Caenorhabditis elegans: one gene and its partner. The protein of the gene in region 1 purifies or fractionates together with the protein of each later gene. This does not show direct contact. Each region holds a gene or a part of one and is shown on either strand. Other genes may lie near its edges.

The links. Proteins that work in one complex are often made in the same cells at the same time.
Region 2: the proteins of emb-1 (region 1) and gfi-3 purify together in Caenorhabditis elegans (affinity purification with mass spectrometry, with the first as the bait; one study listed by BioGRID). This does not show direct contact.

The regions. Positions count from the first base shown.
Region 1 is NC_003281.10:5,170,337-5,176,600, reverse strand, and holds emb-1 (Anaphase-promoting complex subunit emb-1), read right to left. Parts: upstream 3,163-6,264; 5' UTR 3,156-3,162; coding exon 3,024-3,155; intron 2,955-3,023; coding exon 2,841-2,954; 3' UTR 2,792-2,840; downstream 1-2,791. Other genes in the region: cid-1 (4Fe-4S ferredoxin-type domain-containing protein), read right to left, coding at 1-969, 1,132-1,439, 1,490-1,652, 1,773-2,230, 2,528-2,609; K10D2.5 (uncharacterized protein), read right to left, coding at 3,365-3,502, 3,549-3,641, 3,686-3,811; prp-19 (Pre-mRNA-processing factor 19), read left to right, coding at 4,559-4,711, 4,808-5,546, 5,610-5,992, 6,042-6,245. UniProt on the Caenorhabditis elegans protein: Probable component of the anaphase promoting complex/cyclosome (APC/C), a cell cycle-regulated E3 ubiquitin ligase that controls progression through mitosis and the G1 phase of the cell cycle.
Region 2 is NC_003284.9:14,477,115-14,485,666, forward strand, and holds gfi-3 (Protein gfi-3), read left to right. Parts: upstream 1-3,457; 5' UTR 3,458-3,459; coding exon 3,460-3,570; intron 3,571-3,620; coding exon 3,621-3,721; intron 3,722-3,771; coding exon 3,772-3,894; intron 3,895-4,083; coding exon 4,084-4,273; intron 4,274-4,322; coding exon 4,323-4,414; intron 4,415-4,456; coding exon 4,457-4,553; intron 4,554-4,897; coding exon 4,898-5,076; intron 5,077-5,135; coding exon 5,136-5,252; intron 5,253-5,297; coding exon 5,298-5,440; intron 5,441-5,503; coding exon 5,504-5,567; intron 5,568-5,621; coding exon 5,622-5,753; intron 5,754-5,799; coding exon 5,800-5,910; intron 5,911-5,956; coding exon 5,957-6,071; intron 6,072-6,162; coding exon 6,163-6,407; intron 6,408-6,458; coding exon 6,459-6,699; intron 6,700-7,016; coding exon 7,017-7,358; 3' UTR 7,359-7,588; downstream 7,589-8,552. Other genes in the region: M163.11 (ShKT domain-containing protein), read left to right, coding at 2,264-2,337, 2,397-2,783, 2,828-2,995, 3,046-3,142; M163.8 (ShKT domain-containing protein), read left to right, coding at 8,307-8,386, 8,446-8,552. UniProt on the Caenorhabditis elegans protein: Probable component of the anaphase promoting complex/cyclosome (APC/C), a cell cycle-regulated E3 ubiquitin ligase that controls progression through mitosis and the G1 phase of the cell cycle.

The DNA.
Region 1 (6,264 bases):
TAATGGTCCATTCTTGGTTCTTGGAATCGAAAACGATACAAATGATGTTAGGAGACAATTGAAAAAGAATGGTTGCCAAGTAGAAACCTTTGGTATTGAAAGAACATTGTCACCACGGAATGGATCAACAACATGAAGAATCTTTTTATTCCAACGGCTCACATCTCGACTCATTGGAATAAGCTGTGTAATTTGGATGACTACGTCCCGATGTCGTTCAACATAATACCGAAAGAAGCCAATGAAGAGCTCAGCTAGATTCCAAGATTTCTTCAAGTCGAACTTCGTACCAATCTTTTCAGTATTCTTCTCATATCGAGACATCAATCTCATTCTACGTTGCCCAGCTTCTTCCGATTGAAGTTTTGCTGTCTTTTCAGCACTCATTTCTTCAATTTTCTCAGTTTCTGGACCTGCTTCAAAAAGTTCATGAAGTACTGGAAGGCATCCGATCTGCTGAAGAAAATGAATGGCCATTATATCAAATCCATATCGAGGAAGTCCGATTCTAGGCTTATTTTTGGAGTCAAGGCCAGCTTTCGTTGCCCAAAGACGAATAAGTTGAAGAAATTGAGCAACTTCCTCTCGTAAATTTACATAGGTCTTCATCAATTCAGAAAAATGAAGTTGTATACGATGATTGAAACATGACATCCAACAAAGTTTAACTCGAACTCCTTTGAATGTAAATATAATTGTTGACGGTGTTCCCATTTCCATGGAATGATCAGCTGGATGTCCATCATCGGCAATCTTCTTTCGAACTTGTTCAAGTAATGCAAATATTGGAGTTCCTTCAGGAATTGACATAGTATATGCCACATTGTAATCACTATCCGGAAGTGTGACGTCATATGTTACAGATCCAAATGGTCGAAGTATCACATCTTGCAATCCAATCGATGGGAATACTGTAGTACTCAAGTAATAGATGATTGTTTCACCGATCTCGATTCCATTTTGACGAACCTGAAAATACTTGACGAGAGAAGGGTTAGTTGAGAGAAAAATGATCGAAACCGGATAGAAAAAACGAAATTTTATTTCTGAATTTCAGCTTTTTAGAGAAAAATCACAATTTATCCTCCGTTAATTTCGTTTTTTTCCAATCCAGTTTCAAGATAATCTAACCTGTTGATACGATTTCAATGTTCCTTCCAAAACTTTTTCAACACTCTCTAAATGTGCTTCAGTCGGAGGTGGAATAATTTTCAAAAGATGCTCCCGTTGTTCCTGTCGCTTAACATCATCAAAATGTGTACTGCTCTCTAAGTGTGCTTTTGCGTGTCCGATTGTATTAATATGATAATCGCACTTTTCGCAATAGTATATGGCCTCTGGGAACGCTTCTAGACGATCGACAAGTTTCTTGATCAAACAAGAAGTCAGAAATCCCTCAGAACACTTTGAGAATGGAAATCTGTCGGATGAAGACTTTGCTGAAACTGTTGAGAAACAGTGAAATGAAATCGGAAAACTCAGTTCAAACCTTTCAAGAGATTCTCAATAGTTTCCCTGCAAGATTTTCTGATCGTCTTTTCATCTGCATCCAATTTCAACAGAGCTCCAGTTGTGATATTGTCATCTCCATGTTGTAATTTTACTTTGATGAATAGTCCATTGCACTTGCTCGTAGTTGGAGTAATCAACAGCTAAAAACTTGACTTTTAAAAATTAATTTCATACATTTTTTTGCTATTTTAAAGTTTAAAGTACGAATTTTGTTCTATTGGAATACAGCGAATGATTTTAATTTTTTATTCACAACTAACCGTAAAATTGTTATCAATTTGAATAGGTACATTCTTTTCCAACGGAAATGAGCTCATTGGATACTGGACAGTCTCTTGAAATGTTTGAGCCGACACGGCTGACCCGGCATTTTTGGAGAAATAATACTCTTGCGTCTGTTTTTTGTTGGCTTCTGCTTGTCGTCCAGCAACATTAATCGTTGTTTTCTCTGGAGTAGTAGGATTTGAATTCCATCCTTTCAATGAAGCTCCCGAATCGCCCAATTCAACAGCCATCAATGGTTGTACAGCGGCAACCAAGGGTCCTGGTGGCGCATTCCGATTTATTGGAGATGTTGGCTGAGAATCCTGATTTCGTTTCAGAATTGTGACTTTTTGAGGAACGATGTTCATTGGAGGACGATTTTGCGATGGATTTCTGCTCGTCTTTTGGGAGGAGGAAGCCGAATCAGCTGGACTGTTTGATGATCTTTTCCGGCCTGTAAGTTCAATGTTAGTTCAATATGAAAATTAAGAAAAAATGAAGAACACTCTGTTCGAAAATTGCTATAAAGTTTTCACTTTGTTTGATAAGAAAGTTGATAAATAAATAAAAGTGGCGTTTCTGCTAAAACTGTTCAATAACTTCAGGATTGATAAGGAAAAAGTTATAGTAGAGAGTGAATCAACGGTATTTTTGAATACTAAGAACAGTAAAACCTCAATCTTTAAGCAATACGAAGGGCCTAATATACTTCATTGTATGAATTTTTAAAAATGATTAGTCATGAACTCACCACTATTCTGGCTATTTCCTCCCCTTCCACCTCCAAGGGCTCCTCCTCTCCGCCTACTTCCAGACCTTTGCTCATCGGTCATCTCACAACTCTTTTTAATAATTACAGTACAATATTAATACCTATTATTCGGTTCGTCTTTCCCAATGAAACTGAAAAGAAGCGATTGAATAAAATCTGGAATAATTTGAGAACAAAATATTAAATTAGGTAATAACGAGGTCAGTACCTCGGAAATGAATTCCATAATTAAAAAAAATGGTATGCCAAATCGAGTTTTATTTACAGATAAATATGGTGTAGAATAGGGAATTCAAGGATTTGCAGGCATATTTGCTGCTGCATGGACAGCGTTCACATGACGTTGATCTTCACGAGTCAGAATAGCCACACTGTCTTGCAAGTGACGCAGAAGATCTTGATTATCCTGCAATAAATTTAGAATGAACAACAATGTACTTTTTCAGAAAAGTGTGATTTTGAAATAAAAACGTACCCATTGAGCTTGACGGTGCTCACAAATCGTGGTGATGAATGACTCTTTTGCTGGTGAGACTTCGGAAACCCACAAGTGCTCGGACCAGTTGAGTGGAGGTTGTGCTACGTGGAATGGGTACATCAAAGCCATACTTGATCTGTAAACGTGGTTTTTTGAATCAAAGTCATCTAAAAAACGGGCAAAAGTAAAATGAAGGTTGTTTCAGCCTATAATAATAAGAGATGTAAAAAGCAATGTATGAAAAAAAATAACCGTTTTATTTAACAACAAAAAAACACGATGTAACTGACACAACTTAAACAACCCGAAATTTGATCAAACTCCCGCTGAGATTTTAATTAATTCTTCAAAACGTGTCCGACGAATGGATATTTCCTAGCACAAATCGGTGCCCATTCAGGTCCACATCCTTCACTACTCTCGAAAAGATCGCGGTTGTTGTCATAGAGATCTTGTGAGCCAGAGAGGTCGTAAATCTGAAATAAACTTATTTTTTTGATAATCCGAAAAGTATTTTATTACTTTGTCTTCCACAATGACCAGGCACCTGTTCTCCTCGCGGCGCATGCTTTCGATTTCTTCCATTGTCATATCACGCTCTTCGAGCTGTTCGATCTGAGAAACAAAAATTCACATCCCAAGATTTATTTGCAAATTACCTCATATTTCGCTGGCTCATTGATTTTTGCAACAAGCATCCTTTTAACAATTTTATTCAAAGCCACGAGAAACACCACAAACACCGCAACATCGATGAAAGTGAGCTCATATTCCCCGATTTGCATTTTTTGGGAAGAAAATTCAAATCCAAATTATTTTTTCAAATCGTTTTTATTCCCCAGTCTCATGGCCGACATTTCTTCGGCCCCGCCCGGAAAAGCTGCAGCAAGTACGCTCCACTGCAGTTTTTCGAATTCTCATTGCATGGAATTCCTGAGACACCACGGTTTCAAGATCTGGTGGGATTCTCCGTTTTCCGGATCTACCATATCCGGATCTACGTTTTCCGGATCTACGTTTTCCGGATCTGGCACCGTGCCAACTCTTAAAACGCTATTTTTTCGAAGAAAAAAGTGACAACGACGCTGCGATGTTACGCGTCGCGTGTTCTTAAGCGTTTCTTCTAGAAGAAAATTTCGAAAAAAGTCGTGCGTTGAAAAGCGTTTTGTGCGTTGGCACGGTGCCAGATCCGGAAAACGTAGATCCGGAAAACGTAGATCCGGAAATGGTAGATCCGGAAAACGTAGATCCGGGATCCCATCAGATCTTGAAACCGTGGTGTCTCGAATTCCTTTGACTTGAAAACTTGCATTTTTTCATGAAAAACTGGTTAAAATTCTAGATTTTCTTTTAAAGACAAGTTTAAAACATTTGATCCAATGCGCCGTTCGATTAGTCACTAGCCAGAGTACGTATTTATTGACCACTCGTTCGATAAATGTAATTATCCTACAAAATTCGCATTGAAACTTTCTTCGTTTATGTCCCACGTCAATCAAGCGGTTTCGTGTATATTTTGCTACTTTCAGGAGATGTCTTTCGTGTGCGGAATCAGTGGTGAACTGACCGAAGACCCAGTCGTCTCTCAAGTCTCAGGGCACATCTTTGATCGTCGGCTGATCGTTAAATTCATTGCCGAAAACGGAACAGATCCGATCAGCCATGGAGAGCTTTCTGAAGACCAGGTTTGTCAACCTTGCAATTATCTTCACTGACGTGAAACTTCGAAATGATAATTCATTGAAAAAACAAAATAATAATTTCTAAAATTCATTTTTTAGCTCGTTTCATTGAAAAGTGGCGGCACTGGATCAGCACCACGCAATGTCTCTGGAACATCCATCCCATCTCTACTAAAAATGCTTCAAGACGAGTGGGATACAGTAATGCTCAACAGCTTCTCTCTCCGACAACAACTCCAAATTGCTCGTCAAGAACTTTCTCACTCTCTGTACCAACACGATGCCGCTTGTCGTGTTATTTCCCGCCTCTCCAAAGAATTGACCGCTGCTAGAGAAGCATTGTCTACTTTGAAACCACACACATCGGCGAAAGTTGACGATGATGTCAGCATTGACGAGTCTGAAGATCAACAAGGTCTTAGTGAGGCAATTCTGGCAAAACTTGAAGAGAAATCAAAGAGTCTGACTGCTGAACGTAAACAACGAGGAAAAAATCTTCCTGAAGGACTTGCCAAAACAGAAGAGCTCGCCGAGCTGAAACAGACAGCATCTCACACTGGAATTCATTCGACTGGAACTCCTGGAATTACTGCATTGGATATCAAGGGAAATTTGTCACTTACCGGAGGAATTGATAAAACCGTTGTCTTGTATGACTATGAAAAGGAACAGGTTATGCAAACATTCAAGGGGCATAACAAGAAGATCAACGCAGTTGTTTTGCATCCGGATAATATTACTGCAATCTCTGCTTCTGCTGATTCACATATTAGAGTCTGGAGTGCAACTGATTCGTCTTCGAAGGCTATTATTGATGTCCATCAGGCACCCGTTACAGGTGAGATATTTGAAAAAAATTCGCTAGCTGTAATTCTTCTATTGAACAAACAATGTTTTACAGATATCTCCCTCAATGCATCCGGTGATTACATTCTCTCCGCTTCTGATGATTCTTACTGGGCATTCTCCGACATTCGTTCCGGAAAATCGCTTTGCAAGGTTTCAGTTGAACCAGGATCACAAATTGCCGTTCATTCCATCGAGTTCCATCCTGATGGTCTTATTTTTGGAACTGGAGCTGCGGATGCCGTTGTGAAGATTTGGGATTTGAAGAATCAAACCGTGGCTGCTGCATTCCCGGGACATACTGCTGCCGTTCGTTCGATTGCGTTTTCTGAAAACGGATATTATTTGGCTACGGGATCAGAGGATGGAGAGGTCAAATTATGGGATCTTAGAAAATTGAAGAATCTGAAAACTTTCGCTAACGAAGAGAAACAACCGGTAAGAAATTGTTAAGCAAATGTTTAATGAAAAAATATAATTTTTTCAGATCAACTCCCTGTCCTTCGACATGACTGGAACATTCCTAGGAATTGGTGGCCAAAAAGTTCAAGTTTTGCATGTGAAGAGCTGGAGTGAAGTTGTATCACTTTCTGATCATTCTGGACCAGTCACTGGAGTTAGATTCGGAGAAAATGCTCGTTCATTGGTGACGTGTTCATTGGATAAGAGTCTCCGAGTATTCTCTTTCTAATTGTTTTTATTACCATTTA
Region 2 (8,552 bases), on another chromosome or scaffold:
AGAGCTATCTGCCATTGCACGAAAAATGTCTGTCGCCTCACTCTCCCTTGGTATATAAACAGCCTACAATCACCGAAGTATGTATCGGTCCGGCGTCAGTGGGTTATCAAGTTTGCCTCCCTTCGGGGAATTTCCCATCGGCATCAACTTGACAGTTACATTTTGAAAATTTGTATTGAGACAAAAAAGTTGGGCTGACACATTTTTGAACAACAATTGTGAAATGAATAGGAGTACTTCCGTATTATAATTTTACAATTTCTGAAGCGTTGGAAGTACTACGTACTGCAAGTTGCAGAACGCTTATCTAATATTATAGATTTTTGAAAATTGCGAAACACAGTTTAACAGAACTATCTGCCATTGCACGAAAAATGTCTGCCGCCTCACTCTCCCTTGGTATATAAACAGCCTACAATCACCGAAGTATGTATCGGTCCGGCGTCAGTGGGTTATCAAGTTTGCCTCCCTTCGGGAATTTCTCATCGGCACCAACTTGACCGTTGCTTTTGAAATTTTTCTGTAAAACACAATAGTGAATTACAAATAAATCGGACTCTACTCCAGCAGTTTGGTTTTATGGTTTAAAAAACCTGAAACGGAACAAAATGCTACTTGAAGTGATATATACTTTAGGTACAACTTCAAACTTTAACAAGTAATCACCGACTCGTTTGTTGGTGCAGCGTCTGTCAGTTATCATTCTTGACCGTTAATTTTAACATTTCCGGAAAAAATTATGGGATACATTAAAATAACATGATTTTTGTTCACTAGTTTTAAAATTGGAGATATATATTTAAAAATGCGAAATACATTATTTATAAACTAACAGTTCTTACTATAAAATAAAAAGACTCTATGCATCTTTTTCAGAACATTATTTGTTTACGATTACCCATGTATATTACTTTGGTGTTTTTGGGCTATTATTTTTATTATTTGTGCTCATCATTTATTTGTGCTCAGCATATCGGCATTAACTTGACCGTTATTTTTTCAAATTTCGCATTCAGATAAATATCAACCACATTCAGAGTATTGAACAATAACAATATTAATATTTTTACATAACATCACATTTTCTTTTACTGCTTGAAAATCCAAACGGCAGTTCATCTGAAAACAAAACAGTTTAGCCATTCGCATATTATTTTTGTCATAAATAAATTCAATTAGTTATTTAACTCAACTTTAAAAAAAGAAAATTAATTCTCCCTATCTCATATTGCGAAACACATCTCAAACGCCAAACACGCATAAATGTCCGCTGCATTAATTCCTCATAGTATGTAAGCTCCCCGCACTCTGAGCAGTTGTTCAAAAATATTATATATCGGTCCGGCGCCAATAGGTTATCATTCCTATTCCCACTTCAGGGAACTTCCCATTGGCACCAACTTGACTGATATTTTTGAAAACTTTGGAGCAAAATTGAGTTTAAAGAAACCAAAATAAAGTTTTTTAAAGTTAAGATTTGAAGCATACATTATAATAATAGGATATATTTGAAAATTATAATAATAAGAAGTTCAGAAAGACGTAAACGTTGTTTTCAAAAGTACCCATTTTCTGTTTCTAATTTTAAAAAAAGTGAAACAGAATCCATATTAAGCATAAATTTTGCCGCAGATTTACAAAATTGGGTTGTTTCTCATATCGACGATATGATTAATATTGCTGGGTTAAGAAAGTTAAGTTTAAAGGTTTAAATTATCAGGCGAGATGTTTGAACAGAATATCCGAATTCTACAAAAGGATAAGCCCAATGCGGGGCTCGAACCCGCGACAACCAGATTAAGAGTCTGGTGCTCTACCGACTGAGCTAACCGGGCCGCGAAATTTGAAGATGATTGAAAAAAATAAATAGTGAAAAATGATATCGTTATCAAGAAAACGTAGCATGTGGCGTTTGACCTTCATCATTTGCAGACGCAGGTTTGCTGGTGTAATATCAATGGGAAAATGAAATAGTTTTCACCGATTAAAATTTTAACTGTAATAATAATTATTATTGGCTGATTTCATTAAAACATAGTTCAGAAATAAAAATTCATTTGTCTTTTTAAGATCAGCAACTTTATGATTCATATGATCGAGCGCAACTTGTTATAGACCTATGTATTCATTAATAGTTCCTCCTCTAGGTGCCAATGCTTATTAGGGGTCAAAACGTTGTGACAGTTGTTCAAACAGGAAACAGATCGGATAAAAGTTAGCCAGTGAGGGCCCACAGAACATTCAACTTTCAACTCTCACTACCATGAACACCTTCTTCGTTTTAACAATTGTTTTCTTTGTTTCAAGCGCTGAAATGTGCTCCGACTCGGCTTCAAAGTAAGTTACAGATTATTTATTCAGTTTGAAATTTGAAATTTCATTTTTTTTTCTTCCAGCTGCGCGAACTGGGTTGCCAATGGGTTTTGCACCTCTACATTCTACACTACCGCTCAGAAAACCCAATACTGCGCATCAACCTGCTCTTTGTGCTCTGATTCTTCAGATTCTAGCTCTTCATCGTCCACTGCTTCTACAAGTTCTTCTTCGTCCACAGCTGCAACGTCCAGTGATGATTCTTCTTCATCTTCTTCATCATCTTCCAGCTCCGCGTCTTCAACATCTTCTTCAGACACAACAACAGCTGACAGTTCTTCTACTACATCCTCTGATTCTTCAACAACCTCTTCCAATTCTTCATCATCCACTTCATCCTCAGATTCCACATCTGTCGTATCTTCTACATCTTCCTCAACCACTACCACATGTGTAGATTCTTTTTCCACGTAAGACTTGATTATTTGCCACTTGCAAAATAAAAACCTTCTAGATGTACTTCCTGGGCTGCTAATGGATTTTGCACTTCTTCCTTCTACACTACTGCTATCAAAACTCAGTACTGTGCAGCTACCTGCTCTCTGTGCTCTTCTTCCAGTGACTCTTCTTCGTCGAGCTCTACCGCTTCTACATCATCTAGTTGCACAGATTCAGCTTCATCGTAAGATCAATCAATTCTACTGACTAGCCTAAAACAAGTTGAACTTTCAGATGCTCATCTTGGGCGGCCAACGGCTTCTGCACTAACAGCTTCTACACAGATGCTCAACGTGAACTCTACTGTGCTAAAACTTGCGGATTATGCTAATTTCATCGTTCCTCTTTTATTGTAGTTTGTCTCTAGTAAACTGAATGCATATCAAAACCATGTCTTCATAATATCTGTTGTGTGTTGTTTGAGAACGGGCCATACCGATGAGAGAGTGCACAAAATAAGAGAGTTTTCTCTGCTACATGGTGTGTCCTCCCGCCCGCCCCTCCTCCACGAGAAACACGCCAGCAAACCAATAATGCGCCTGCAGCCACCGACCTGCACCGATCCCTCTTCATTTTTTTGAATTTTAGTCGTCTATTTTCTAGTATTACCTTTAAAAAACAAGGTTTTTATATATTTTTTTTCCAGAAATGCAGAAAGCGGCGCCGCGGCCCATCATCAAACGGAGTTATCTCAACTTGGATGCAATTTTCGGCCATGTCTTCTCAAATTTGACAGGAGAGCCAGTGACTCCAACAAAAGTAAGTTTTTTAGTTTAGAAAACCTTCAAAGTACTAAAAATTTACTTAAGATTGCAACGTTCTACCTTCTTCGCATTCTTTTTCAAACACACTTTGGATTCCGTCACAAACGTGCTTACTACAAACCATTTAGCCCCGCCGAAAAAGAACGGTAAGTAGTTTGGAAAAATTTTAAAAAAAGAAACCAAATTCATGTTTTAGAATCTTCCATTGGCTGTATGCATTGATGACGTCAGTCGTGGAGCTTTCTTATAAGGACTTCAGAATTGTCACTCGACTTGCATTTGATGACGGCCGTGAAGTTTGTAAAAACTTTTATGCAGCGTAAGTCAAACGATTTTCATTTTATACAATTAAAAAAACATTATAATTTATTGTAAACTATTATAAAAACTAGTCAAACAATTCGACAATAAATTAAATGCAATAATGTTTCTTAGCTCGATTTTCTGGAGCATTATAAGCATAATCAATAATACAAAACAATCCGCTGGCATCTCTCCATTCTTTCAGTATGGAGAAAATTGGCGCCGGAATGGCGGATGTTACTCTTAACGTTGAAGATGAGTTCTACACCAACAAGCACCCAAAGGATCCGAAATTGCCAGCAAATGACACTGTACATGAAGCTATGGACTTGGCGCGCGGAGACATTATCCAGTTTTCTTCCAATCACTCGTTTATGTACAGATGGATGAAACGAGTATGATTTTTCAATCGAAAAAATTTGTTTCAGTTTGATTATATTTCAGCTCCTGGCACAATACACCAAGTCAACTCCTTCAGAAGTGTTCCAGATAAATGCAGCCATGAAATCATGGGTTTTGTCTGCTGTTGAATCAAAGTAAGTGACGAAGCTTTGCTAAAAATACCGAAACTTTTGCAGATATCATCCCGAGTTCAAGGGAGAGTATCTTCCACACTTCATCGACTGTTCTGTCAGAGCAAGGGATTGGGTTGCTAAGAGCATTTACTTCATTCAGGTGAGATACTATTTGAAACTAAAACTCCCATGCGGTCGCCGAGCCAGCCTCACGTCGTCACCCTCGCCGCATGTACAGTGAAGCGCAGACCTCCGAACGTGTCGGCCGCTTCCAGCCCACCACCTTTTCACACTACGTTGCGCACACACCATGCTACTCATTTCACGCTGAGCTGCGGAACCCCGAACGTGTCGGCCGCTTTGAATGACTACCTCTCGAACTTCATTTCACACACACAGCGGCGCGCGGCGACGGCGTGAGGCCCGGATTTTGCGCCTCACTCAGCTGGGAGCTCTGTTTGAAACTGACAAAAGAAAAGTAATAATGTTTCCATGTTTTTACAGAAGAACCCACGTTTTGCCTTCCAATATAACGAGATGCTTCACTACACCCGGATCGTACAGAAGCGACACCCGGACGTTGTTGAAGGGTTCCTGCTAGAGGCCATTGTGCAAGTTCAATTGAAAGATAGCTCGTCGGCTATTAAGGCAATGAAATCGTTTTTCGAGTTGTCCATGTTTGAGTAAGTGTTATACCGTTATACCGCCACCGAGGTTTAAGAACAAAAAAAATAATTTTCAGACTAAATGAGAACATGGTGCATGCCGCAAAAACGCATCGATTGGCAGTTCCAACTCAAACCCCGTTGATGTATGCACCGATTCTTCAAGCCAGAATTTGCAGAATATTTGGAGACTAGTAAGATATATCAATAAAGAGTACATAAATATTCTCATTTTCCAGCCAAATGGCTCGTCTCCTGCTCCACGAGAGTCTCCAACAAGCCCAGCTCCGAAATGATGAGATTTGCCATCAAATGGCCAACATCGAAATGCACACTGTCGACATATTGGGATGCAGGGCGCTGCTTGAGGATAACAATGAAAGTGAGCTCGTCTATTATTTTTTGAATCAATAAGAACTAAGACAACAACAAATCAAATTTGCAGAAACCGCTAAGCACATTGAAAATGAACGGCGAGTTCAGAGAAAAGCCTTGCTGCACATAGACGAGTAAGTTGGATTATCTACTAGTATAGAGTCATAAAACTAATTAGTACATTTCAGTCTTCACGGACATACGCGATCCGGGCCTTGCTGTCTAAGTTCTGAAGAAGATTTTGAGCTTGTCGCAGAGATGGACTCATATGGAAAAATGCTCATGTTGATGAAGATCATTGCAGAAGGAAACTATAAGCTGTGAGCATTCAATCAGAGACGTCGCTTTAACTTTCCAAATTTACAGGATCTACGACAGAGTTGCGGAAACCGGAATAACGTGTCCAGTCGGTAATGATCTTGGAGAACGAGGACGAAAAGTGGCTGCTTATGGAGCTGCTCTGATATCTAGTAACATGTAAGTAGCTCGTTGCAAATGGCCTAGAAACCATTCTGAATTTCAGGATTCATAATGGAATGTATCATCAAGCAAAGTGCGCCGCAGAAAACATGCTGGCAAACAATTGCAGAACCGATGAAACAGACCCCTTCCAGGCTCCTTTTCAGGCCGAACCTTGGGTAAGTACAAGTTAGAACTGTGACAAATAATAAATTGGTGCAAAATTTATATGTATCTAATGAAATTCAAGTATGATGTATCAATTTTCAGGCAATTGGTGCGGTAAACCTATCTTATTCACAAGCTGGAGTCGGAAACTACGACGCGGCACTAAGAACTATTGAGGAAATGCGACAAAATTATCCGGAAGAACTTTCTTGGCAGTCCAACCGTCACGTTGTCATTTGTGCAGCTGTCATCAACTTTGAAAGATTCTTATTGAAAAATGACTACAAGGCTTGTGCTTCTGAAGTTTTGAATCTCGCAGCACACTCTGAACTAGAATGCAAGCTTCGGTGAGTTGCAATTGAAAGTATTACCTCATTTAATTTCTATAATTTTTTTAGACAAGCTCTTCTCCTCGCCGCAGCCGGAAAAGAACGGGCAAGTGTTGAAGTGTTGGAGGGATTGAACGTTGTGGACATTCGTGGAAGAATTCGAATTCACATGCAAACAGGATGCATTTACACGGCTAGTCAAGAATTTAGAAAAGCTGCAAGAGAATTTGCAGACGCCTTGAGTCTTGCTGAGAACACCACACTGAAGGACATTGTGCCAATGGTCAAGAGAAGACAAGCAACTATGCTGGTAAGCATTTTATGTAAAGAAAAAATTGCATGAATTTTTTTACGCCATCTTGATATTTCACTGAAGAATCTACAAAGTGGAGCACTGTCGTTAGGGTTTTGAATCCGTAAATTTTGCGCTGCACTCCGAAAATTATTTTTTATTCAGCCTTAAAAATTGTTTGAAGTGAGATGTTTGAAAACATAAGGTATTGTATTTTTTATAGATGTCACCAGATATGTCAGACTATACTCGCTTACTAGTTAGATAAAATAAACGTTTTCTGAGAACATCGCATTTATCAAATGAAAAACAATTTTTAGAATCTAAATTTACAGATGTGCCATGGTCAGTATGTCGAATGTCTGAAACTTTTGAAAGAATGCAATGAAGGCATTGAACAGTTTGGATCATTTACCGAGAAGGCGTGCTACTACATGACAGCGGCCAGATGTCATCGATTGCTAGGGAAAGATCCGCGGATGTGGTTGAAAAAATCCCGTGCCCTGGTCCGCAACGGGCAATGGCCGGCGTTTACCAAGCTCGTCCTCTCCGAAATTGCTGCTCTTCATGACGTCAAAGGACTGATGCCTGATGAAAATCGTCTGTCGCAGATTTGTGAGCAATTTGGTAAACTGACTGCTGATTGTCCCGGCCGATGCGAATGGCTCCTCATCTGATGATGTTTCAAACCAATATTCTTGTACACACTTTTAAAGTGCTTCATTATCCAATCCCAAAGACCCCCGTCTGTTCTTACATTCAACGATCTTGTTTCAAAACTCAAACAGGTTTATGAGCTTCACAGTGTATTTTTACGAGTCTTTCTTGCTCTATTTGATTTTGAATTTATGAACTTTTTGTAAAAAAATTGCTTTTGAAAAATTGGAAAAAAAATTGAAAAGGAATGTTTTATTGCAATTTTTTTGATTTTATTTTATTGCAGATACCATTTGTGCAGTTTGAATGCTTCTTACCAAATGTCAGAAAACATATTTCTGGTAGCTAAAATACATTTACAACTGTAGCAAAAACGTGTTGTGCAAGTTTTTTAATAGCAATGAGATGTCTATTTTTTTTTAAATTAAATTGAATCATTATCGAAAGTGATTAATTATAGGAAATTACGAAGAATAGAAAGGATTACTTTGTTATTGGATGTTTTACATGTTCTCATGTAAATTTATTGCTAGCCAAACTTATTTGTTGTTTTAAAGCGTGACCTCATTGAATCAAACGTTTTTTTAAAGATTAGTAAAAAAATTAAAAATTAACCGGCTACTGAAAACCCCACCCCCGCAAAATTCCTATTTTGGGTGAAAATTCCGTATTTGCAGTGAAACAATGCCAACTGAAAGCATCACTCCAGTTACTCATGACAACTCAAATAGGATATGTGTACATAATGATTAATTTTGCTAACTTTCCATATCCGTTATAACAAATGCAAACATCGTTTTTGAAAATGGATACTGTTAGGATCAAACACCTGATGATCCCACCGATTTGGCACTTTAATGGATCAACTAACTTTTTGGAAAAGCTGAACAAACGTAAAACAGTTTTATAAAAGGCATTCTATCAGAACGCATTGTCAGAACACATTCAGTTTTTGAATTAAATCAAAAATGTCATCTACTTCTTTGTGCGTCTTGGCTGTTCTTATCATCTTCTCTACCGTAGAAATGTGCATGGATGTTAACCCAAAGTAAGTAAAAATTCAGCATTTGCAATTTTTTATCACTGCTGGAATTGATAATTTTCCAGCTGCGCTAACTGGGTATCCAACGGATTCTGCACCTCATCATTTTACTCTGATGCTCAAAAAACCGAATACTGCCCTGCGTCCTGTAGGCTTTGTTCGGGTGCTAGTA